Linked DNA regions of Arabidopsis thaliana. The protein of the gene in region 1 interacts with the protein of each later gene in a pairwise test. Each region holds a gene or a part of one and is shown in the gene's direction. Other genes may lie near its edges.

Region 1 (7,409 bases):
TGAATTTGTCGTTTGAGAAATGACGAAGGAGTTATTTTCAGGCGTAAGCATTTGACGTGCTCGACGTTAAGGAGATGACGTGTTAAGTTATGGTACATATGTTTTTTTCTCTTTTATTTGGGTCATAGCCGCGTTCAACACGTGCTTTTTGTCAAATGTAATTACATGATTAAACTAAAAAAACTTATTACTGTTTTTCAATCAACTTATTAACCTTGATCTTTTTTATAACAAAATAAAAATAAAAATTGGCACATGATCAAATCATCAATCTCAAATAAGATAAAACCAAAGGTGTAATAAGGTTCATTTTTTTGTGGAGAAACCGAGTCAATGCTACCAAATTGCCTATATAGGCTTGAATTTTATGTAAATGCTTTTTTGAATGGAATAATCCGATTTTTTATTTTATTTTTTCTTATGTAAAATTATAACATGGTATAGATAAAAAATTTGTTTTGTAATAAGTGATATTTGGTCTAACGGCGCGTATGTATAGTTCTTTTACAAAAGTGAGTAATAGTGGTTTTCTGGTTCAAATACTATTGAGAATGGTATCAGTTTTGATGGACAACAAGTGTATGAGACTCGGCTATAACTTCTCAATTAACCATTAACCATTAAAGAATACAAAATTTGGATTTTCGACTATACTTTGGTTCGGATACATCATACATGCATGCACACCATAACAACTAAACTCAAAAGGATTTGTTTTTGAACTTTTGATGATAAGAAAAAGAAAAAAAAGATGGGACATAAGAGTCATGTACACGTGGATAAGGAAAGGAGAAGAGAGGGACAAGGGAAGAGATGGAGAAAGAGAGACGTAAGTATTAATTCAATTGTGTGCCCTATTAGCTTTCATTTTCCACAAGCAAGAATAATATTAATAATTATGTATCATCTTTGCATTTTTGTACCAATACATGATACATTTGTTAGGCACACGTCTTTTTCCTTTTTCCTCCTTTTTATTTCTAACTTTCTTCCTTTTATTCGTTTAATCCGGCTCTATCACGTTAACACACATATATGTTATATCATCTTTTTACAAACATGTTTACATTAGTTATTAGAAAATACATATACTTGTAATAGTGACATTGGTAAGAAGAACTCTATCACCTTCACAATCACACACATATATGTTATATAATCTTTTTACAAACATGTTTACATTAGTTATTAGAAAATACATATACTTGTAAATAGTGACATTGGTAAGAAGAAAAAAACACTATTAAATAGTGAAAAAATGTTTATAACTCTCTTAATTAACATTACTTATTATTGCTAGCACCTAAAATCTCCCACAAAATATTTGTTGTAAAACACAAATTTACAAAATGATTTTGTTTTTAAATTAGTAACACATGTTCATATATACGTTAATAAGAACATACCCTATATGATTTTATATAAAAAAATTTCTTTGAGACGTCTTATCCTTTTTTCTTTAATAATATGCAATTGTGAGAGTTTGGATTTGAATGGTAGCATTAGAAGCAAACTTGAACCAAACATATTTCATGAAGTCAAACTTGAACCAATGTAATCACTAATCACAGTGTTCGCAGTGTAAGGCATCAGAAAATAGAAGAAGGGACATAGCTATGAATCATATAATCTTGACACATGTTTTATAGGTTTTAGGTGTGTATGCTAACAAAAAATGAGACAGCTTTCTTCTAATAGACTTAATATTTGGGCTAAATGTACCACAGTTGTGAATTTCTTACAAAAATGGGCCGAGCTACAAAAAACTACAGGCCCACTCTCAACTCTTATCAAACGACACCGTTTTACTTTTTTAAAAGCACACACTTTTTGTTTGGTGTCGGTGACGGTGAGTTTCGTCCGCTCTTCCTTTAAATTGAAGCAACGGTTTTGATCCGATCAAATCCAACGGTGCTGATTACACAAAGCCCGAGACGAAAACGTTGACTATTAAGTTAGGTTTTAATCTCATCCGTTAATCTACAAATCAACGGTTCCCTGTAAAACGAATCTTCCTTCCTTCTTCACTTCCGCGTCTTCTCTCTCAATCACCTCAAAAAAATCGATTTCATCAAAATATTCACCCGCCCGAATTTGACTCTCCGATCATCGTCTCCGAATCTAGATCGACGAGATCAAAACCCTAGAAATCTAAATCGGAATGAGAAATTGATTTTGATACGAATTAGGGATCTGTGTGTTGAGGACGATGAGTGACTCGGTGTCGATCTCGGTTCCGTATAGGAATTTGAGGAAGGAAATTGAACTTGAGACGGTCACCAAGCATCGTCAAAACGAATCTGGTTCTTCGTCGTTCTCTGAATCTGCTTCTCCTTCGAATCATTCTGATTCGGCTGATGGTGAATCTGTGTCGAAGAATTGTAGTTTAGTGACGTTGGTTCTTAGTTGTACAGTTGCCGCTGGAGTTCAATTTGGTTGGGCATTGCAACTTTCTCTTCTTACTCCTTATATTCAGGTACTTACTATTACTCTTGTCATTGTTACCATTTCTATCACTTGTGGCTTTCTCTATAGCAATTTAGATTCGAGGGTTTTGTTCTTGTGTAGCTTTGTACGAGAAAGTCGAGTACTTTGTAGGTGAATCAATGAATTCTAATACTTAGGTTAGGTAGTTGTTGTCACCAACATAGCCATGAGATATTTTCGTATGGAACTCTATAGCATTGGCTTATCGAAGAGTATATGACATTGGAATTTAGCTAGATTGTTTATGTTCATTGGATTACATAAGCATTTGTAAAAATATAAAAGACCTTAGCCTTTTTCGGAACTATTGTATAATCAGAGATTAGACTGTGTTTAGAATAGTATTGTACTGGTCATATATGTATCAGGTGGGTAGTTATGGTGGTAGATAGAACTATTGTTAAATATCTGTTTGCTGGAAGTATTTTGATTTTCTTGTTGCTGAAGAACCCTTTTGAGTTTTATCTAACAGTGTTGCATTTGGTTGGTTGATGCAGACCCTTGGAATATCGCATGCTTTTTCTTCGTTTATTTGGCTGTGCGGCCCAATTACAGGCCTTGTGGTAGGTTAAAAGTTTCTTTAAGAATTTTAGCAGTTTTACTATCTTGCACGTAATGATCTCACGAGAGTTCAAGTTTTGATTTATATTGGATCAGAAACTATTTTTCTGCCCCATTTTGTTCATACTTATTTGTTTGTTGGGTTTTAGGTCCAGCCTTTTGTTGGCATTTGGAGTGATAAATGTACTTCAAAGTATGGAAGAAGACGACCATTTATTCTAGTTGGATCATTCATGATCTCAATAGCAGTAAGTGCCAATAGAAGATATGATTTCTGTTTTGATTTTCTTTTAGGAGATAGCTGGCTACATTGTGTTTTATATAAGCTAAACAAAAGCTTGCAATTTAGGTGATAATAATCGGATTTTCTGCAGACATTGGGTATCTGTTAGGAGATTCAAAGGAACATTGCAGGTAACTCTCCTGCTCCCCTGCCAATGGCATGTTTTTTATGGAATGTATCAAAATTAAAGTAACTGACGACTTGATGTGTATCTTGAAATGCAGTACTTTCAAAGGCACACGAACCAGGGCAGCTGTTGTCTTTATCATTGGGTTTTGGTTGTTGGATCTAGCAAACAATACAGTACAGGTTCAGATCTGCCTCTGCAATGTACTTGAGTGAATGGTACTAGTCATTACCTCTGTATCCAGGAATGATGTTTTCGGCTTTTTTATTTTCAGGGACCTGCTCGTGCTCTTCTAGCTGATCTATCAGGTAATAATGGAATATAACCATACACTTAACAGAACAGAATTTCTATTCAAACTCTAGAATCAGATTGAATATGCTGTGCTTCTAATGAGATGTCTCTTGCTGTCCCTAGGTCCTGATCAGCGGAATACTGCAAATGCTGTGTTCTGCTTGTGGATGGCTATTGGGAACATCCTTGGGTTTTCTGCCGGTGCTAGCGGAAAATGGCAAGAGTAATCTTTGAGATCCTTATTCTCAAAATCTTGTATTCTTTTTCCTCATTTGCAATTTTGCATTTTCCGCCAGCTGTTAAATGATCAGGCAATTTTACTGCGCAGATGGTTCCCTTTTTTAACTAGTAGAGCATGTTGTGCTGCATGTGGAAATCTCAAAGCAGCGTTTCTTCTTGCAGTGGTAAGCAGTATGTTTAATTTTCTGACACATGCATCTTACTAAGCTTTCTAAATTGCAATGGAATGGGCTGGTCTTTACGAAACACTCTCACGTTTGTACATTGTGACTTGTGATTCATATATGTCGCAAATCAATGCGTTCTGTTTGTATGTCTATATTATTTTTGAGGTGATTTTGAAAGTGAAATTATATTATTGCACCCAGTGGCTTTTGTTCTTGTTTCATAGTCTAAAATCTGAATATATTGTTCTATATGTTTTAAGAGTTTAAATCATTTTTTCAGGTCTTTCTCACTATATGTACTCTTGTCACAATCTATTTTGCTAAAGAGATTCCTTTTACAAGCAACAAGCCCACCCGCATACAAGATTCTGCACCTTTGTTGGATGATCTCCAGTCCAAAGGCCTTGAGCATTCAAAATTAAATAATGGTACTGCCAATGGAATCAAGTATGAGAGAGTGGAACGTGATACGGATGAACAGTTTGGCAATTCAGAGAATGAGCATCAAGATGAGACCTACGTTGATGGCCCTGGATCTGTTTTAGTGAATTTGCTAACTAGTTTAAGGCATTTGCCACCGGCTATGCACTCAGTTCTTATCGTCATGGCTCTTACATGGGTGAGTGCCAAAGAAAAATTATGATCAGTTATTACATATTTCACACTGTTTCTTTTCTTAAACTCTTTAATGATCTTTAAAATTATTTGCTTCTGTTATATTTTTGATTGTGGTCTTGTTCTTTGCAGTTATCCTGGTTCCCCTTCTTTCTGTTCGATACAGATTGGATGGGAAGAGAAGTTTACCATGGGGATCCAACAGGAGATAGTTTGCATATGGAACTCTATGATCAAGGTGTACGTGAAGGTGCACTTGGTTTGCTACTAAACTCTGTAAGAATCGTTATAATAACCTGTTTTTTAACTGCACTGCTCTTCAAAATTCAATTACTCGCCCGTTATTGAATATTCTTCTTCCCTGTTTCCGTAGGTTGTTCTTGGGATCAGCTCATTTCTCATTGAACCAATGTGTCAGCGGATGGGTGCTCGGGTTGTATGGGCTTTGAGCAATTTTACTGTATTTGCCTGCATGGCGGGAACAGCTGTAATCAGCTTGATGTCTCTCAGTGATGACAAAAATGGAATTGAATACATAATGCGTGGAAACGAAACAACAAGAACCGCAGCCGTAATCGTTTTTGCACTCCTTGGTTTTCCCCTAGCTGTATGTGCTTTCTTTCAACCGTAATTCTCTTTATTCTTTTCGTGTTGCAACATTTCTCTAAAATATGTGATAAAACCATTCTTTAATGCAGATCACATACAGTGTCCCTTTCTCTGTCACAGCAGAAGTCACTGCTGATTCCGGTGGCGGTCAAGGTCTGTGAAAAGATTCATATCTTCACTATATTCATAGTTTTTGTACTTAAATCTTAGATTTCAGTAATCCCTAATGGTTTCATTTCCTCACTCCAGGTTTGGCTATAGGAGTGTTGAATCTCGCAATCGTTATTCCCCAGGCAATCTCTCAAATCTAATTACACTGATAAATTTCATTCTCTTGTATAATGCCACTCACTTCGAGTGTAGTCTTGACCCGTAAATAGTGTCTGAATATGGTTTTGGCTCTAAACAGATGATAGTATCACTTGGAGCGGGTCCATGGGATCAATTGTTTGGAGGAGGAAACTTACCGGCGTTTGTTTTGGCGTCTGTTGCTGCTTTCGCTGCTGGAGTTATTGCATTGCAAAGGCTTCCCACGCTATCGAGTTCTTTCAAGTCCACCGGTTTCCACATCGGCTAAAATCTTTATACCACAGACATAAAATTCACAGTTAGATCTACCCGATTCTTTTTGACCACGTTCTCCTCTCGGCGTATATGTAAGTAGGTTTTGTACATCTAGTTTTCTTATATGTTATACACAGCAATGTGACTCTAAATTTACAGTACCTCTCTTCTCACGTAGAATATATCTTCGTTATTTTGAATCACTTTATATTTGTGTGTTCCTTTCCTCACAAATAGAAACTTGAAGCAACATATTCCAAACTCAATAGTCCAATCTAATAACACAATACTGTTGGTTCTTTAACCTATGATGTGTACGTTTTCCCAACATTACCATACTAATATAACAAAGCATTTCAATAAGAACACAAATTCAAACCTATTTTCGCCTATAAACTATGTACTAAAATCATAACCAAACTATATCTCCAATAGAAACAATGTGTCCATAAATAATAAATGCTCATATATCGTGGGTTGTTGATGACATAGTCTTTGTCCACAAGTTCCTTATTTAGTTGATATAAGCATTTTCAAAACAAAGAAACAAAATTCAACTTAGTGTAACAATGTCAAAACCAAACTCTTATCTTCAATAATGAGACAAAAGAAACCGAAGTTAAGTCTATAATCAATTTCTACATAGACAATGTGGCCAAAAATAATAAATGAACATATATCATGGGTTGTTGAGACACCCAATTTAATAAAATAAAAACATTGAATGTCTTATTTTCTTCTTCTTTAAAAACCCTTTGTACATTTACTCTTCAATTCATCCTCATTTACTCTCTATAGTTTCTCTCTCTTTCTCTAAACTTTCACCTAAGATCGATCAATGGCCAAGGGAAGAGGCAGTGCATCATGGTCGGCTCGAGCCATAGTGACTCTCATGGCTGTGTCAGTGTTGTTGCTTCAAGCTGACTACGTTCAAGCTGCAACGTACACGGTCGGTGACTCTGGTATCTGGACCTTTAACGCTGTGGGTTGGCCTAAAGGCAAACACTTTAGAGCCGGCGACGTTCTTGGTATATACTTCACATCCTTTTAATCAAGCTTCAGTAATTATTATACTATCTTGTTACACTTAAACCACAAGCAGTTAAGCTTTCTAATCTTCATATCCACTAGGGATGTATCCATATCATGGCTGCTTCTAAGTATGGGCAAGATGTGCTTTTGTATAAAGCACACGACAAATAAAAAACTTCCTATAGTTTAAAGGTTACAAATATGATTGATAAATGTTTTGCATACACAGTTTAAATAGTGTATATCTTTTACATGATTGAGCCTGTGATATATTTTACTATATTATAGATATGTATGTATACATCTTCCTTCTCCAAAATTTTTTTTCTAGTTTCGATTATTCACAAACGCTGATTTATGTGTATAGCAAAAATTCATGTGCGTTTAAATTTAACAAAAAATATTTTAAAATATCATAAATAGTACCACT
Region 2 (5,586 bases), 510 kb from region 1:
TCTAATAATAACAGGTGTTTCGCAATTTATTTCTATAATGAAAAATAATAATATATATTTCCAATTAATCCATATTGCAACTCATGTGTAATAGATTCATTGAAATATCTAATAAATAAACAAAAATTCTAACAATAATCTTAAACTGTTGAAAGCAAATAACCATTATGAAAAGATATTACTTTTATAATTCAAAATCATGTATCACATGTAGTATTGTACATGCTACATATTAATTGTTTTAACATAACTTTTGAGAAAAAAATGCGGTAAAAAACCTTCAAAGTGACAAATTTTTTATCCGCTCTTAACTTTTTTTTTTATTATATACAAATCAAATTTAAGGAAATAACTCAATAATAAGATATTTTAACTTTAAATTCCTAATTTTATTATATCCATATAAAATCAATTTCTTTTTATTGTTTTAAATTCTTAAAGAAAATATTTCTTTATCTTCCATTTACATAAAGTATTGTTGGTCAATTGGTAACTCGATAGCGACATAACGTTTTCAGTACATTTATCAGATTTTATATAACTTGTTTTTTCTTTTGAACCGACATTATGAGATCTTTAGTCAAGTTGGAGGATTTTCCATTGAAAATCATCTTATATCATAAGCTTTAAAAATTTTAATTGTGAAGGTTTAAATCATATGTTTGTAATACATGCATTTCCATTTCACCCCAAAAAAAAGGTAATATTGAATATATTAAGTTTTAATTTATAATAAAACATATCAATTTCACACAAAAAGAGCCAAAATATAGTGCATTGAAAACTTTTAATCAAGTAAAATGTCTTCATTAAACATATCATAATTTGTAAACATCAAAATTATTACTTCTAATAATTTCTATCGATATATTAACAATTATAAAAAAATATTATATATAATTTAATGTTAATATCATTCTATATTCAAAACTAAAACCAAATATACAATTCACGCATCGTTTGGATAACTTTCTAGTATATATATATATATATTAGAATGAAAAAGTCTTGTAGAGCATTAGACCACTAATAATTAAAAAAATTTATAATTATATTGCATTTTTTAATACAATTAGACCCACTAATAAAACTACAAGTATTAAAGGTTCACCCGACTCTCAAATTTGAACCTAATACTAAATTATACCTCTCTCTCTTTTCTTACTTTTTAATATTTAGTTTTTAATGGTCAAAACCCTTTTTTTGTGCAAAAGATAATTTCATTCAAACTTAACCCATATGTAGTACAAATTTTAAACAAACATCAACCTCATGGTTGGAAACATCAAAGAAAACCACAAGTTCTCTCACAAGAGAATGGTAAAGGAAAATGATATAAGATAATTTGACGGTAGATCCATACATCGAAGACAAGAACAATGTAGTAACTTGCTACAAGCGAGAGAATGGTGAGTCGAAGACAATTACACGAATATTTTGGGAGATTGTTGAATGGTCACGGTCCAAACGAGACATAGTGACGTTGATAAAGAGTCTTTAACCTTGGATAACAATGGCTCGAAACACGCAGCTTCTACAAAGGTGATTAAGGTATCCAAATGGTTTTGCAAACTTAAAGTCGGAGACAAACCAAAAGTTCGTTCTATAAAAGAGGATGATTCAAAAGTTCTCTCTATAAAAGAGGATGATTCTATCATAAAATTCTTAGACTTATATGAATAGTATGAGCTGCTCTTTAAGGCACTAAGATCTACCACCAAGGTTAATAAAAGCACCTTGTCTAGACTATCTATAGGTGTCAACGTGATGAGAGAAAGGAGTCCACGACCAATCTCAAAACCATAACCCTGCCATCAGATATCTAGTGTTTGACAAGGAAGAAAGAAAAACAGACCTGGACCAAATTGGTAAATAGGCCTACCCATTAGCATTAGCTTTAGGCCGTGGTAAATTTATTAGTGGGCCAAAGGCTGCCCAGCCCAATTCGAAATGGGGATCCAAACAAACAGCGGTTTTGCCCTCTTTAGAATGCCGCTTTTGTGAAATTGTGAGAACCCTTGTTAAAAAAACTCGCGATGAAGTTGCTCTCAAATACTTTAATGGCTCACGGTAAGGATGCTGTTGTTGTGAGTCACGTGTTTGCACTGTGTAGTTGCTATTTAAAACAAATTCTTTTTGTTCAAAATTATTTTTTTTGATAAATTGTCAATCTCTGAATATTAGAACTTGATTCCCAAGTAATCTTTTTCGAGTTGTTTTGTTGTTTAGTCATTGATTATACGAACTTGGTCCCCAAGTATATTTCTTGTTCATGCACTTCCTTATTATCCTATTGGATGACTGTTGACCACAACGTCCACTAAAGAGAAGAAACTATACAACGTCATTGCGAAAAACTACTATACTTTTATACTTTAACGTGTAGACATAATAATATACTTTTTTGAGTATCTTCGGTGGAAAATATAGAATACCTTTTACTGGTTGAGCTAAGAGTCGTGTAAATTCAATATTCTAGTCCCACAAATTTCCAAAAAGAAAAGTCTAAACATTGGTTTTCGTTGTCTGTCTATAAAAGATAAGAAGAATAACATCAGAGATTATACGCACACGGCTTTCAACATTAGGAAGGACAACAATGGAAGAGCCCTTTCTTCTGCAAGATGAGCACCTTGTCCCCTGTAAAGACACATGGAAAAGTGGTCAGGTTACCGTCGAGCTGAAGAAAGTGAGCAGCTTGGCCGCTCCTATGGCCGCCGTGACCATTGCTCAGTACTTATTGCCTGTCATTTCAGTCATGGTCGCTGGCCACAATGGTGAGCTCCAGCTCTCCGGCGTCGCTCTTGCAACCTCCTTCACAAACGTTTCCGGGTTCAGTATTTTGGTAATGATATGCTATAACTACTCTCTCCTCTTAAGTTCAAGATCAAGTTGCCTCTCAAATCTTGATAACACTATATTAATTCTTTGTGCAGTTTGGGTTAGCGGGTGCACTAGAAACTCTTTGTGGCCAAGCTTATGGAGCCAAACAATACGAAAAAATCGGAACCTACACATACTCTGCAACTGCCTCTAACATCCCTATATGTGTCCTCATATCAGTTCTCTGGATTTACATCGAAAAGCTCTTAATCTCTCTCGGTCAAGACCCTGACATCTCTAGAGTCGCTGGCTCCTATGCCTTGTGGCTCATACCGGCTTTGTTCGCCCATGCGTTTTTCATCCCACTGACTCGGTTTCTGCTAGCACAAGGGTTGGTTCTTCCACTGCTCTACTGTACCCTGACCACTCTTTTGTTCCACATCCCTGTTTGCTGGGCTTTTGTTTACGCGTTTGGTCTGGGAAGCAATGGAGCTGCCATGGCTATTAGTGTGTCTTTCTGGTTCTATGTTGTGATTCTCTCATGTTATGTGAGGTACTCCAGCTCCTGCGACAAGACTCGCGTATTTGTATCCAGTGATTTCGTGTCTTGTATCAAGCAGTTCTTCCACTTCGGAGTCCCATCAGCGGCAATGGTTTGGTAAGTCGTTTTTAAGTTTCTTGTTGGTCAAGTTACATACAACAACCAATGCTTTTTTTTATCTTGCTTGCGTTTTCTTGGTCTTCCTTTAATAGCCTAGAATGGTGGCTATTTGAGCTACTCATACTCTGTTCAGGTCTTCTCCCAAACCCGAAACTCGAGACCTCTGTTCTTTCAATTTGGTAAATATATATCATATAACGACTTCTTTTTATTTTTATTATCCTCTTTACTAAAAACTAATGAATCTTATTTCTTTAATGCAAGTCTTACAACAGCAAGTTTGCACTATGTGATTCCAGGTGGAGTCGCGGCGGCTGTGAGGTATGAACTCAAATTTTTAACCAAACATATTCAACATCTTCTTCCTAAACAATAATAGTCATTTGGTTTCTTGCAGCACACGCGTGTCAAACAAATTGGGAGCTGGGATTCCTCAAGTTGCTAGGGTTTCAGTATTGGCAGGGCTTTGTCTCTGGCTTGTAGAGTCAGCTTTCTTTAGCACACTTCTCTTCACATGCCGAAACATTATAGGCTACGCATTCAGCAACAGCAAAGAAGTTGTGGACTATGTGGCTAACCTAACTCCTTTGCTCTGCCTCTCCTTTATCCTCGACGGTTTCACAGCAGTTCTGAATGGGGTTGCAAGGGGAAGTGGTTGGCAACACATTGGAGCTTTGAACAACGTGGTAGCTTATTATCTTGTAGGAGCTCCTGTTGGAGTATACTTAGCTTTCAATCGTGAGTTGAACGGAAAAGGACTTTGGTGTGGTGTTGTGGTCGGATCCGCTGTGCAAGCCATAATATTGGCTTTTGTCACAGCTTCCATAAATTGGAAGGAACAGGTAAAACACTTAGAATAGAAGATTCGTCATTTTAGCATGTTATACTTGTACATTCTTTTTTGTTCTTTCTTTAATACTATGAAGTAATTTTAATCTATGATTTGCAGGCTGAGAAGGCTAGGAAGAGAATGGTCTCTAGTGAAAATAGATTGGCTTAAACTAAGGATGTTTCTGAGAGCTATCTCAAACTATTTTTGTAGGTGTTGAGCAAATTTTTATGTATGGTATATTAATGTGTTAAAAAATGTTCTTACAAAATAATTTATATGTATGATTTTTTCTCAGCCTATCTTTTTCACTATGTTGTGTAACTTGTAAGTGTATAATCATCATTTATCCATAAACATGCTTTTCTTAATTTTTTCACATGTCATTCCCAATAAATTTATTTTATGGTATTTGTGACTATAACCACAATCTTCTACCAATAAATCTTAGTGAACCCTTTCCGAGAGAGCTTTTAGGCTCATAATACAATACTATTCAGATTTTGAAACTCGGACCTTCACGACAAATCTCTGACGAAACTTTGGATTCTACTTGAGAGCGGCTGTCACTTTTAGTTTCAACCACAAATGATTTACTAAAACCTGTGTAAAATCAGATCCAAATGTCTTTAAAGTGGTCTAAAGAATCAAAACTTAAGGTAAGCAAATTACTTAAATTAGAGTCAAACTTTAGGACTATATAAAAATATAAAAATCCACAAAAGTAATTAATACAAGATTGAATGTTCAAACTCTACAAAACAAAATAATTCATATTAGTCTTCAGTCTTCACATATGTTCTTATGTAAATAATTAAAAAGTATTAACACTAATGACATGTCATTTTTAATATGTATATTCTATATATCTATTTTTATAATATAGTATATTCGTGTGCCACTAGTATCTATATTTTCAAACAAGTCAAAACGAATTTGCTTCTTTACTCATCATATCTACTTCGTCACCACGTTTGTAGTTCAAGTTGCCTTTGTTGTTTATTGACTTAGTCGGTCTATAAAGATAGGATAAATATCATCTTAAAATCAAAGGGAAAGGCCTTCAACGTTAAACAATGGAGGAGCCATTTCTTCTGAGAGACGAGCTTCTAGTCCCTTCTCAAGTCACATGGCATACAAATCCATTAACCGTCGAGCTAAAGAGAGTGAGCCGCTTGGCCGCTCCTATGGCCACTGTGACCATTGCTCAGTACTTATTGCCTGTCATCTCGGTCATGGTCGCTGGCCACAACGGCGAGCTCCAGCTCTCCGG
Region 3 (4,807 bases), on another chromosome or scaffold:
AATATAAGCTTCAAGATGTTGCAAAATCTACAAAATCCAATAAACACTCCTTAGAGGTCTAAACAAAGAGCCTTGACTCAATAGAACAGTATCAGAGTAAGACTTTCCAGTAAGAAAAGAAAAAAACATTCTAAGAATAGTAACAGTATCAAACTCTACATTGCTGCATTCACAAACAAGTGTAGGCAATACTATTCTACAACAAAAAAAAAATACAAAAAATCAGAAGATCTAAATAAAAAACTAGAGATGAAATCTATGGTTCATGTGATGTGATCTGATGTTTCCTACTTGGACCTCTCCTGGTACAAAAATACACAATCTTGATGTCAAAATCTCAAATAATTTAGTTTTTTTTGTGTGTGAAAAGATTGGAAAATATTTGATCGTGTACTTACTTGTTCTGTATGGGGCTATAGCGACTCCTCGGGATTTTCCGTAAGCTATCTCCTTCACCTCCAAGAGACTTCTGCTTCATCTCTTTGCTTATTTGCAAATCTCTCAAATCTCTATGTCCCTCTATGTGAAACTTGCTGCTAAAGAAAGCTAACAAAACCAGAAACAGAGCTATTGAGATCGATCTTGATGGATGGAATCTCTTCATTTGTGAATTCTCTTTTAGGTCTTGAGAAAACTTTTAGGTAGAAATATGATGAGTTAAAGTCTTAAAGAGAAGGAGATAGAGAAAGACAACTTGTAAAGCTTGTTGGCTTTGTAAGATATGTATGTATTGTCCTGCGACTTTTTTTGAGATCTGATCACGTGAATTAATTTTTCTTCTCCGAATCATTTATTTCAGATGCTGAGATATTTTTTTTATCTTAATCAACTAATTTATGGAACATTCACTGATGTTGAGAGTGTCCTCACTTTCATACAAGCACATGTATACACGTTTATTTATGTGTTTACCAATATTAGTAAATCCAACTTCATGAGATCTCAAAAGTTGCAGGTAAAACATTAACAGGCTGTGTTTTGTCTCTATGCTAATTGCTAAGGCATCAACATTATTTTCATTCATTTTTATTTTTGTTTTCCTAACAAGCTTTATAGGGACGACTGGACGAGCGAGAAGAAGACAGTCAAATATTTGGGACTTGAGTCACTTGCATGGGAAAATTGCAAAACAAAATTTTCATATATTTGAGAGTTTGAGTTTTACGTACTAGAGAAAGTTTTATAAAATTTAAGATCTTCTTCTAATCAAACATATTTTTAACAATGTAAACTAATACAAATTTTCAATAATTATTTGCATTAAAATCGGAAACTAATAAATAATAAAAAGAATATATCTTTGTCAAATTGTTTTAGGTGAAGCTACTACTACTATACCTTGGAACTTTTTCATTAGCATGGGCTGCGTTTCTTTTACAACTGGCACAATTTTGAAAAAGTGAAACTTATATATATATATATATATATATATATATATACTTTTTTTTTTATATCCACTTTTTATGAGAACGTTATGATGTAAACAAAAGAACTTTAAAATATACACACCTAAAAATCGTATTTAAGCTAAATCTTGCTGGAGTAATAACTATGTTAATCAAACCATTATATGGACAGCTTGTTTGATCAATCTTTGACCATGATAGTGTCAATCCCCCAATGATCCCGTAGAGGCTAATTAGCAATTCCTTAATTTTTTATCGTTCGGATTTATTTATTTTTGTTCAAATTACCGGTCGAATTGTTTTTCTTTTCTGAGCTCATATTTAGTGTTTTTAGTGTTTTTGAACTCAAATTACCGGCCGGATTTTTTAGTGTTTTTAGAATTAGCTCATAAATCTGAACTCATATTTAGTGTTTTTCTTTTCTTTTAAATTCAAAAGACATTTTATTTTATGAGAATACTAAAAACCATACAATGTACATATGATATCCCTTTTTTTTTATAAAGGAAAATAACCATGAAAAAATAGAAAATACAAAAGATGGTTTTATGGGAGATTTGCCATTTATGAAAAGGGAGAAACCATTGTGATTACTAGAAACAAAAAAAATATCGTGATTTTTAGAACATTTTTTTTCTTTGATTAATTTGTTACATTTCTTGTGTTTGTTTACAAAACCGAATTGTAAACAGAACCAGCCAAGCGCGTCTGCTTAATTGGGATTTGTTCCCGGTTTAAGTAAACCAACTCCTTGCTATTCTTTTTTAATCCCTCGCAGAATTTCTCATCCGATTTTCACAAACTTTCCTCGGATCTGGTCACGAATTGCTTTGTGTAACAAATTCAAATTCCAAACCCAAGCAAGCCTCCATTGAACTGGTACACGGATAAATTTTTTCTAAAGCTTTTCTTAGATTTCTCTCAATGCGATTTTGTTGAATTTCTTGGTTTCAGTCGATCGAATCAAATGAATTGCCGATTAGATGTTTTCTTAACATAATTTCTAGGATTTTGATCGAATTGCTGGTTCGTGATCGAGTGATTTGTCTGGATTAGATTTTAAGTTTTATGCAAATCTTGTTGAAAGGTGCTTAACTTTTGATTCAAGTTTTACTTAAGAGCCAAATTATAGGTCAATGTCATGTAGATTACTATTAATTCTTGAGTAAACTGGTTTAAATATGTTTTTGTATATATGTTCCAGATTAGAAGTTGATATTGATATAATTCAGCAAAGAGAAGAAGATTCTGCGGTGTTCTTGGTCACTTTGTGGTTTGTATAATGGCGTCTGGGACAGTGGGAGGGTTGTCTGAGGTATATAGTAGTGCAAAAAGGATTCTACTAAGAGCTCGGAATGGAATCGAGAAGTTGGAGAGGTTCGACTCTGATCCTACCGACCTCGCCTCCTCCGTGAAACGAGACATTACCGAGGTTCAATCTCTTTGTTCCAATATGGACGGTCTCTGGCGTTCGATCCCTGTCAAATCCCAGCGTGATCTTTGGAGAAGGTGAGGAAGTTTAGATCATCAAAATAGCTGAAGTAGTGGTTAAACTCTTGAGCATTTGGATTTTTTTTGCTGTAGGAAGAGTGAACAAGTAGGAGAAGAGGCTGAGTATTTGAACCAAAGTCTAGAGAAGTACATGTGGAGGAATCAGAGGAAGATGTTGGAAGCTAAAGAGAGAGCGGATTTGTTAGGTAGAGGGAGTGGAGAAGGAGCTCACATTTTGCAAATATTTGATGAGGAGGCTCAAGGAATGAACTCTGTTAAGAATTCAAAGAGAATGCTTGAAGATTCGTTTCAAAGTGGAGTTGCTATTCTCTCTAAATATGCTGAACAAAGGGATCGTTTGAAGGTAACCAAACCCTAACTTAAGCTTTAAGTCAATGAAGAAAACAGTTTTTTAACATTGGGTTTTTGAATTCTCAGAGTGCGCAGAGGAAGGCTTTGGATGTTCTGAACACTGTTGGGCTCTCTAACTCTGTATTGAGGCTCATTGAGAGGCGTAATCGTGTTGATACCTGGATTAAATATGCGGGTATGATCGCAACGCTTGTCATATTGTATCTCTTCATAAGATGGACACGCTAGAACCAGAGAACTTTAATTACATTACCATAGATTGTATGGAGAGAGTTTTGTAACACGTTTTTTTGTTTTGTTTATACCTCTTACAAGACATTTTCAAAACACTAGTACACATATTCTCCATTTCATTTGCGTCTAGTATGCTCTCGATTTATGCCAACTTTTCTTCCCCAACTTTTGATGTGTTCCTCCTATATCCGAGAATGATGTATTGCTCGCAGTGTAAGAGAACTTGTTCAAAACTTCTCCGAGACTGCAATCGTTGTTTAACACAGAAGCTACTACATTTGTTTGGGTCATTGCTTCGGCGACTAACATGAGCTTCAAGACAGTTCATATTTAAAGTGATTCGAAACAGTTGACTTTAGCATCATTGTATTAATGGTCAATGTTTTTTTTTGACCAAAATAGTCAATTCCCCAAAGGTCTGATTATGACAAATACCGAACCGGGATAGGATAATTATAATTAAATACAGAACCGACTCAACTGGAATAATTTTGATCCGGTTAAAGGAAAACCAATCTCCTTTTGATATTTCGACACTCTCTCTTTCCTCTCTCCTTGTCTCTGTACCGCGTCGAAATATGAGAAACGAATGATTTGATCATCAATCAACGAGAAACACACACGGAGAAAGAGAATCTCAAATTAGCTCCAGCTCCTGATCGATTCCGATTTTCACAATTCTTTCCTTGGATCTGCTCTTACCTTGTCACGATTTCACTTCCCTGTGTTTTTGATTTATACTTGGTCATCCAATAACGAAACTTTGATCAAACTGGTACGCCGATTATTTTCTTTCTTTCTTCTGATTTTCTTAGATTTCATTAACTTGATTGACTCAAAATCAATAGGGATCTTTAGGGAATATTCTTTGATATGTTTTGGAATTTTATCTGATTGCAAAATATTTGTGTGTATGTTTGTTTTGTTTAATTGGAATTTTAAGTTTTTTTTTTTGTTTTCATCACAATTTCATGGGTTTAGGCAATTTTGTTGAACGGTGATCTTTTTTTGTGTGTGTGTATCAATTTGTCAATTTGTATTTAGAACAGATACTTTAAGAAGTGTTGCTTCTCTATATGTGACTTGAGATTGTAGTAATAGCTTAACTATACGGCAATGTCATGGAGTAGATTATACATGCTTGTTCATGTCAGTTTTCCAGATGTATGACTTAAGCAGGATGGTTTCTTTATCGAAGATGACCTTAATTTGGTTTATGTTACTGTCATTCATTTCATACTTAAAGGTTGGATTATATTTTCTACAGTTTACAATTCGTTGTTTTGGTTGACAGGAACTACAGT
Region 4 (5,055 bases), on another chromosome or scaffold:
AAAAAAAAAAAAAAACTCACGTTCGATCAAGATATCGGTTAACATTCAATGCAAGGGTCGAAAACCAAACCAACCAATTTTCAGTCTGGTTTGGGTATGGGATTGGTTTGGTTAAATTCACACTGATCCTCCTAGAAAATATATTCATTGTAGTAACAGAGGAAATGTAAATTCTGCGTTTTCATTCATTTCAATTGGCTAATGGACATGGCAAAGTGCTCACCATCAATAGTTCACAAGAAAAAATCCTTCACAGCACGAAACCAATCAACTTTTTTGGCCAACATGGGGCTGAAGACACTTGCCGGAATTTCATGAGAGTTCATCATGCCACTATCTTGAATCTTCTTATCAGCTGAAGCAATCATGCATTACCTTGGATGGATTTTTCAAATTGCTGGAGCTGCGAAATGAAACCGGGATTAGGATATGCCTGATGTCGTCGGCTCCTTACAAGTTCCATAGCTTTAGAGAATCCCATTCCATGCTTTTTCATCAGGTAAGCCACCACTATAGTCACACTTCAAAGAAAAACTCAAACCAATCAAATTGTGTAAGTATATATATAACAGAACGACACAATAAGCAAATTACAGGTTCAAGAAAAACTCTTAATTTGTCCACAACAAAATGTAATCTGTTCACTACCATAACTCCTACTAATACCAGAATCAGCAAGCTATAAAAGAATCAAAGCAAACTACAAGATTCATATACACTTTTGCCAATCTGAGTCTCTGTAGTTTCCTATGGTTACTCAGTTGGCAATTTATATACACTTTTTTGATATGGTTACATAATTTGCAATTGGTTCACATTGATGATTCTTAAACACTAAATCTAATAACTGAATGTATGAGATTTAAGGGCAAAAGAATCAAAACCTCCTAGACATTCCCATGAAGCAATGAACCAAAACACCACCACCAGATTGAATAGCTTGGTCGATGAAGCTATAACACTCATCGAAATATACTGTCAAATCGGTCTCGGATCTATCAACCACTACACGATGAAGAACAAGTTTATAAAATCTCTAAACGAAAAATTTCAAAAACAGGCTAAGGATTGAAGAAAAAAAACCCAACCTTCAATGACTTTGTAGACAAAATCATCAGGATAAGGAGGAGCCAAGGCCACAGCAACGGTTAAGACATGAGTGATATTAGAGCTTTTGAGAAAATCCTTGTTATTCGCTTCAGCTACTGATCCTATGAACAATCCCTGAGAATAAACTCATCCAACAAACGATTTTTCGGAATTAAAGACTCCAAAACCTGAGAAATTCCAAGTGTGAAATTAGACGGATAGATAGAGAAGAGAAACGAAGAAAACCTGTTGGATCTCGCTGAGATCTTTGCCTCCTTCGAGTAGCTTCTGGGAATTAGCTTCTCCGACTCCGAAGAGATCAACCACTTTCTCCATCGCTCTCTGCTTCTTTTTTCAAAATTCCACTTGTACAGACGAAAACTCTTAATCAGAAAGATAAATAACCCTAGATTCGTAATTAATATTTAATAGTTTAGTTCGGATAGATGAATCAATAAGCACCAGTGGTCTAGTGGTAGAATAGAACCCTGCCACGGTACAGACCCGGGTTCGATTCCCGGCTGGTGCAACAATTTGTTTGTTTTTTTAAGTGAAAAGATTTAAGAGAGTCAACCTTTTTACACATGAAATGAAGATGATTAAAATAAATAGATGACTTAGAAATCACCAAATTAACATTAAGAAATATTGGTAGGTAGGAAGTGAAAATTGAACACAAGAAAAGTGTTGAGCACCCTCTTCTCCTTTCAGACTGCTTAACCAAAGGAATATAGCAGCACTCTACTAATTCTTCTTTTTGTTGAAATAAAATAATTACTCTTTAATTTCCATCTTCTTTGCGTTTTTCTCTCTATCTCTCTTTTTTTGTTCCATTAGATCATTCATAAAGCGGATCAAGCCACCTTGATTGTGACTTTCCTCAGTTCTTGATCACTATATCTTGAAGGAATTAAGAAGATGAATGGTGAGGCACGGTCAAGAGTAGTCGACCAAGAAGCTGGCTCAACTCCATCTACTTTGAGAGATGAAGATCATCCCTCGAGACAAAGGCTTTTCGGATGTCTCCCTTATGATATAGATCTCAATCCCCTACGCATTGTAAGCTTCATATATACACAAAATCATAGAATCAACAAGATTAATATCTCACAATACTTTTGTGTTAAACTAAAGAATTGGCTATGTCCATAATTACAAATAATTTTTTTGAAAATATTAAAATGTTTGTATAGAAATAAAATGCTAATTAATAGTATCTCCGGACTAATGTTTAGGTAATGGCGGAATTGGTGGGGACATTCATTCTAATGTTCAGTGTGTGTGGGGTCATAAGCAGTACCCAATTATCCGGCGGCCACGTGGGATTGCTAGAGTACGCCGTCACCGCTGGATTATCTGTGGTGGTCGTAGTTTACTCCATCGGACACATCTCTGGCGCCCATCTTAACCCTTCCATCACCATTGCTTTCGCTGTCTTTGGCGGATTCCCGTGGTCTCAGGTATAATGCATCCATCTCAACACGGCGTTTGACCAACTAAGAATTGTAGTTGAATTATCTTGGTCTTGATCGTTTGTTTTTGTTTATCTTAGCGTTTAGACCAAGATCAAATAATGTGTTTTTTTCATTTATCAACGAAGATGAGACGAGAAAACTTAATCTTTTGTTTGGACGTTTACAAATTATTTTTTATGAAAACTGAAAATTCTTTTTTGGAATGTTGTGTCACATGCCAGGTTCCGTTGTATATAACGGCGCAAACATTGGGGGCAACGGCGGCAACATTAGTTGGGGTGTCAGTGTACGGAGTAAACGCTGACATTATGGCAACAAAACCTGCTTTAAGCTGCGTTTCTGCATTTTTCGTTGAACTCATAGCTACGAGCATCGTCGTGTTTCTCGCCTCCGCGTTGCATTGTGGTCCTCATCAAAATGTAAGTGACCAAATCGATCTTCGTTACTCCTCTAGTCCGCTTGTTATAAAAAAATATCTTCTAATAAGAATAACACCTAAAATGTGACATTTACATGCTATTTCTTAATTATGAAATTTTATTTCTTTCCAAAGAGAAAATAAAAAAAATCAAACTCTCTGATTAGAAAACTTATATGCATTTAATTTTATATGTTATTTTGTGCAGTTGGGTAATTTGACGGGGTTCGTGATTGGAACAGTCATTTCCCTTGGAGTGCTTATTACCGGGTACTTAACTTAAAACTCCATTATCACCGTAAAGTATTGGAAAATAGTTATTTCATGTGATCGTATAATGCTAACGTTTTGTGGAATATGGTATGGTTAGACCGATTTCAGGAGGATCGATGAACCCAGCTCGATCACTTGGACCGGCGGTGGTGGCATGGGATTTTGAAGACTTATGGATTTACATGACAGCTCCGGTGATCGGAGCCATAATCGGAGTTTTGACATACAGATCAATTAGCCTAAAAACCAGGCCTTGCCCTTCTCCAGTTTCCCCTTCCGTTTCTTCACTTTTACGTTAATCACTTCAAAACCTAATATCTATTATACAAATAAACACTTTTGATTTTTTTTCTTGGTTAAGGTTTTTAAGTTTTTGTCATTACGTCATTAGATGCCGTGATGCGAAAACAGAGAGCTACTTATCGGATTGAAGATATAGAGGGTAAAGCAAATGAAAACAGGGGGCATTTTGTTCTTTTTACACAATGAAATGAACGCAATTAAAAATCTTTAGTCACATATATTTTATAGTGAAGCGAAATTCGTATGAATATTCAAATCCTTTCATTAGGTTATAAGAACCCACTAAAATACTCATATTACTAAACGATACCAACAAACATAAATTAGAGAAATGAAATTAAATATCTTAAATTATTACCCCAACTAAAAATTTAGTGGCCACAACCTCTACGACTTGGACCAGAAGCTAACTTTCGACCTGACCACAAATTCGCCTTCTTCTTCTTCTCCTCGTAGTTTCCAAACTCATTTCTTGAATCTTCTCCGACTACATTCATTCTCGTTGCCTTCTCTGCAACCCTGTTACAACCATGGTAACTAGCCATGGCAATGGAACAAGTTAAGTAAGCGACCAAGAGAAACACAACTTTAAGAAGCTTCTTCATCTTCATGTTCTTAGTGTCGACTACTACTTAAACTATAGATTCTCAACATTGATTCGTATTCGTGTATATATGCATGTTTATAGATTTTTGGTCTTTTGTTCTATGAGAGCTAATGCATAATTAGTTAAACGGTTCAAATGTTTATTGACTGAGTGAGTAAACAGTCTACGAATAGTAAGGTTTAGGTTGCTACTTTGTATTTAATGCTATTTCAGAACTTCTAATTTAAGAATTAAAGTAAATTTCATTAAATCATGATATGTCTGAGTCTGGTTGCGGTCTTGCAGAAATTTAAACCATGTGTTTTAGATCAAATATGATTCATTCCAACTAAATGTATTCAGATTTAGATGGTGCTCTCGAGAAATTGTTCGATCATTAGAAGAAACTAAATCATTTAGATGCGAGGATACTCACTAACTTGAGACTTGAGTAAAAGTGTTCTAAATTTTCCTTTTGAAAAGTACCAGAAGATTGTATATTATAATCTTTTTTGTCAAAATCGCAAATTCTAAAGCAAACCTTTAAAGTTGTTGATTTCGTAATGCAAAACTCAAACGCAATTGCAAGCACTTTAATTGATCAAATCAAAGCTGAACAACGAGATCCGTTTGCTACGTTGTCACTACTTTTAAAGTTCAAGCAAGTCAATACAAGAAGAAAAAAGTTAACAGAAATTTTTGATTAAGCAAAGTATTTACGATGCTCTCTGCATATATTATATAAAGCACATTAAAATCGAATATATATTTGAGCTTGACCATTACGCAATATATTCTCACTAGCTTTCTTTCTTCGTTTGTCATGAGATTCATTGTCCCCAAGAAAAAATGACATGTGATGTGTTACAAAACCTTAAGACAAGTGGCATGGACGGCTCCCGAGTCTAATT

What was found.
Region 2: the proteins of SUT2 (region 1) and AT2G04050 interact in a protein complementation assay, tested with the Arabidopsis thaliana proteins (one large-scale study listed by BioGRID).
Region 3: the proteins of SUT2 (region 1) and MEMB12 interact in a protein complementation assay, tested with the Arabidopsis thaliana proteins (one large-scale study listed by BioGRID).
Region 4: the proteins of SUT2 (region 1) and NIP7;1 interact in a protein complementation assay, tested with the Arabidopsis thaliana proteins (one large-scale study listed by BioGRID).

What each region holds. Positions count from the first base shown.
Region 1 is NC_003071.7:827,097-834,505, reverse strand, and holds SUT2 (sucrose transporter 2), read left to right. Parts: upstream 1-1,886; 5' UTR 1,887-2,209; coding exon 2,210-2,476; intron 2,477-2,984; coding exon 2,985-3,050; intron 3,051-3,197; coding exon 3,198-3,296; intron 3,297-3,397; coding exon 3,398-3,462; intron 3,463-3,555; coding exon 3,556-3,640; intron 3,641-3,732; coding exon 3,733-3,766; intron 3,767-3,875; coding exon 3,876-3,975; intron 3,976-4,080; coding exon 4,081-4,156; intron 4,157-4,439; coding exon 4,440-4,778; intron 4,779-4,906; coding exon 4,907-5,050; intron 5,051-5,147; coding exon 5,148-5,381; intron 5,382-5,472; coding exon 5,473-5,536; intron 5,537-5,632; coding exon 5,633-5,676; intron 5,677-5,792; coding exon 5,793-5,960; 3' UTR 5,961-6,227; downstream 6,228-7,409. Other genes in the region: ARPN (plantacyanin), read left to right, coding at 6,786-6,975. UniProt on the Arabidopsis thaliana protein: Responsible for the transport of sucrose into the cell, with the concomitant uptake of protons (symport system). Can also transport maltose at a lesser rate. May also transport biotin.
Region 2 is NC_003071.7:1,336,284-1,341,869, reverse strand, and holds AT2G04050 (MATE efflux family protein), read left to right. Parts: upstream 1-2,401; 5' UTR 2,402-2,599; coding exon 2,600-2,845; intron 2,846-2,936; coding exon 2,937-3,481; intron 3,482-3,576; coding exon 3,577-3,663; intron 3,664-3,748; coding exon 3,749-3,805; intron 3,806-3,881; coding exon 3,882-4,326; intron 4,327-4,433; coding exon 4,434-4,484; 3' UTR 4,485-4,690; downstream 4,691-5,586. Other genes in the region: DTX1 (MATE efflux family protein), read left to right, coding at 5,390-5,586.
Region 3 is NC_003076.8:20,536,334-20,541,140, reverse strand, and holds MEMB12 (membrin 12), read left to right. Parts: upstream 1-2,144; 5' UTR 2,145-2,285; intron 2,286-2,581; exon of another isoform or gene 2,582-2,610; 5' UTR 2,611-2,688; coding exon 2,689-2,915; intron 2,916-2,990; coding exon 2,991-3,261; intron 3,262-3,335; coding exon 3,336-3,497; 3' UTR 3,498-3,715; downstream 3,716-4,807. Other genes in the region: AT5G50443 (uncharacterized protein), read right to left, coding at 257-302, 399-604. UniProt on the Arabidopsis thaliana protein: Involved in transport of proteins from the cis/medial-Golgi to the trans-Golgi network.
Region 4 is NC_003074.8:1,839,887-1,844,941, reverse strand, and holds NIP7;1 (NOD26-like intrinsic protein 7;1), read left to right. Parts: upstream 1-1,745; 5' UTR 1,746-2,007; coding exon 2,008-2,148; intron 2,149-2,230; exon of another isoform or gene 2,231-2,324; coding exon 2,325-2,549; intron 2,550-2,646; exon of another isoform or gene 2,647-2,662; coding exon of another isoform or gene 2,663-2,785; coding exon 2,786-2,983; intron 2,984-3,190; coding exon 3,191-3,252; intron 3,253-3,352; coding exon 3,353-3,554; 3' UTR 3,555-3,774; downstream 3,775-5,055. Other genes in the region: MKP2 (MAPK phosphatase 2), read right to left, coding at 365-521, 885-1,005, 1,089-1,224, 1,336-1,425; AT3G06090 (uncharacterized protein), read right to left, coding at 3,930-4,169. UniProt on the Arabidopsis thaliana protein: Aquaporins facilitate the transport of water and small neutral solutes across cell membranes.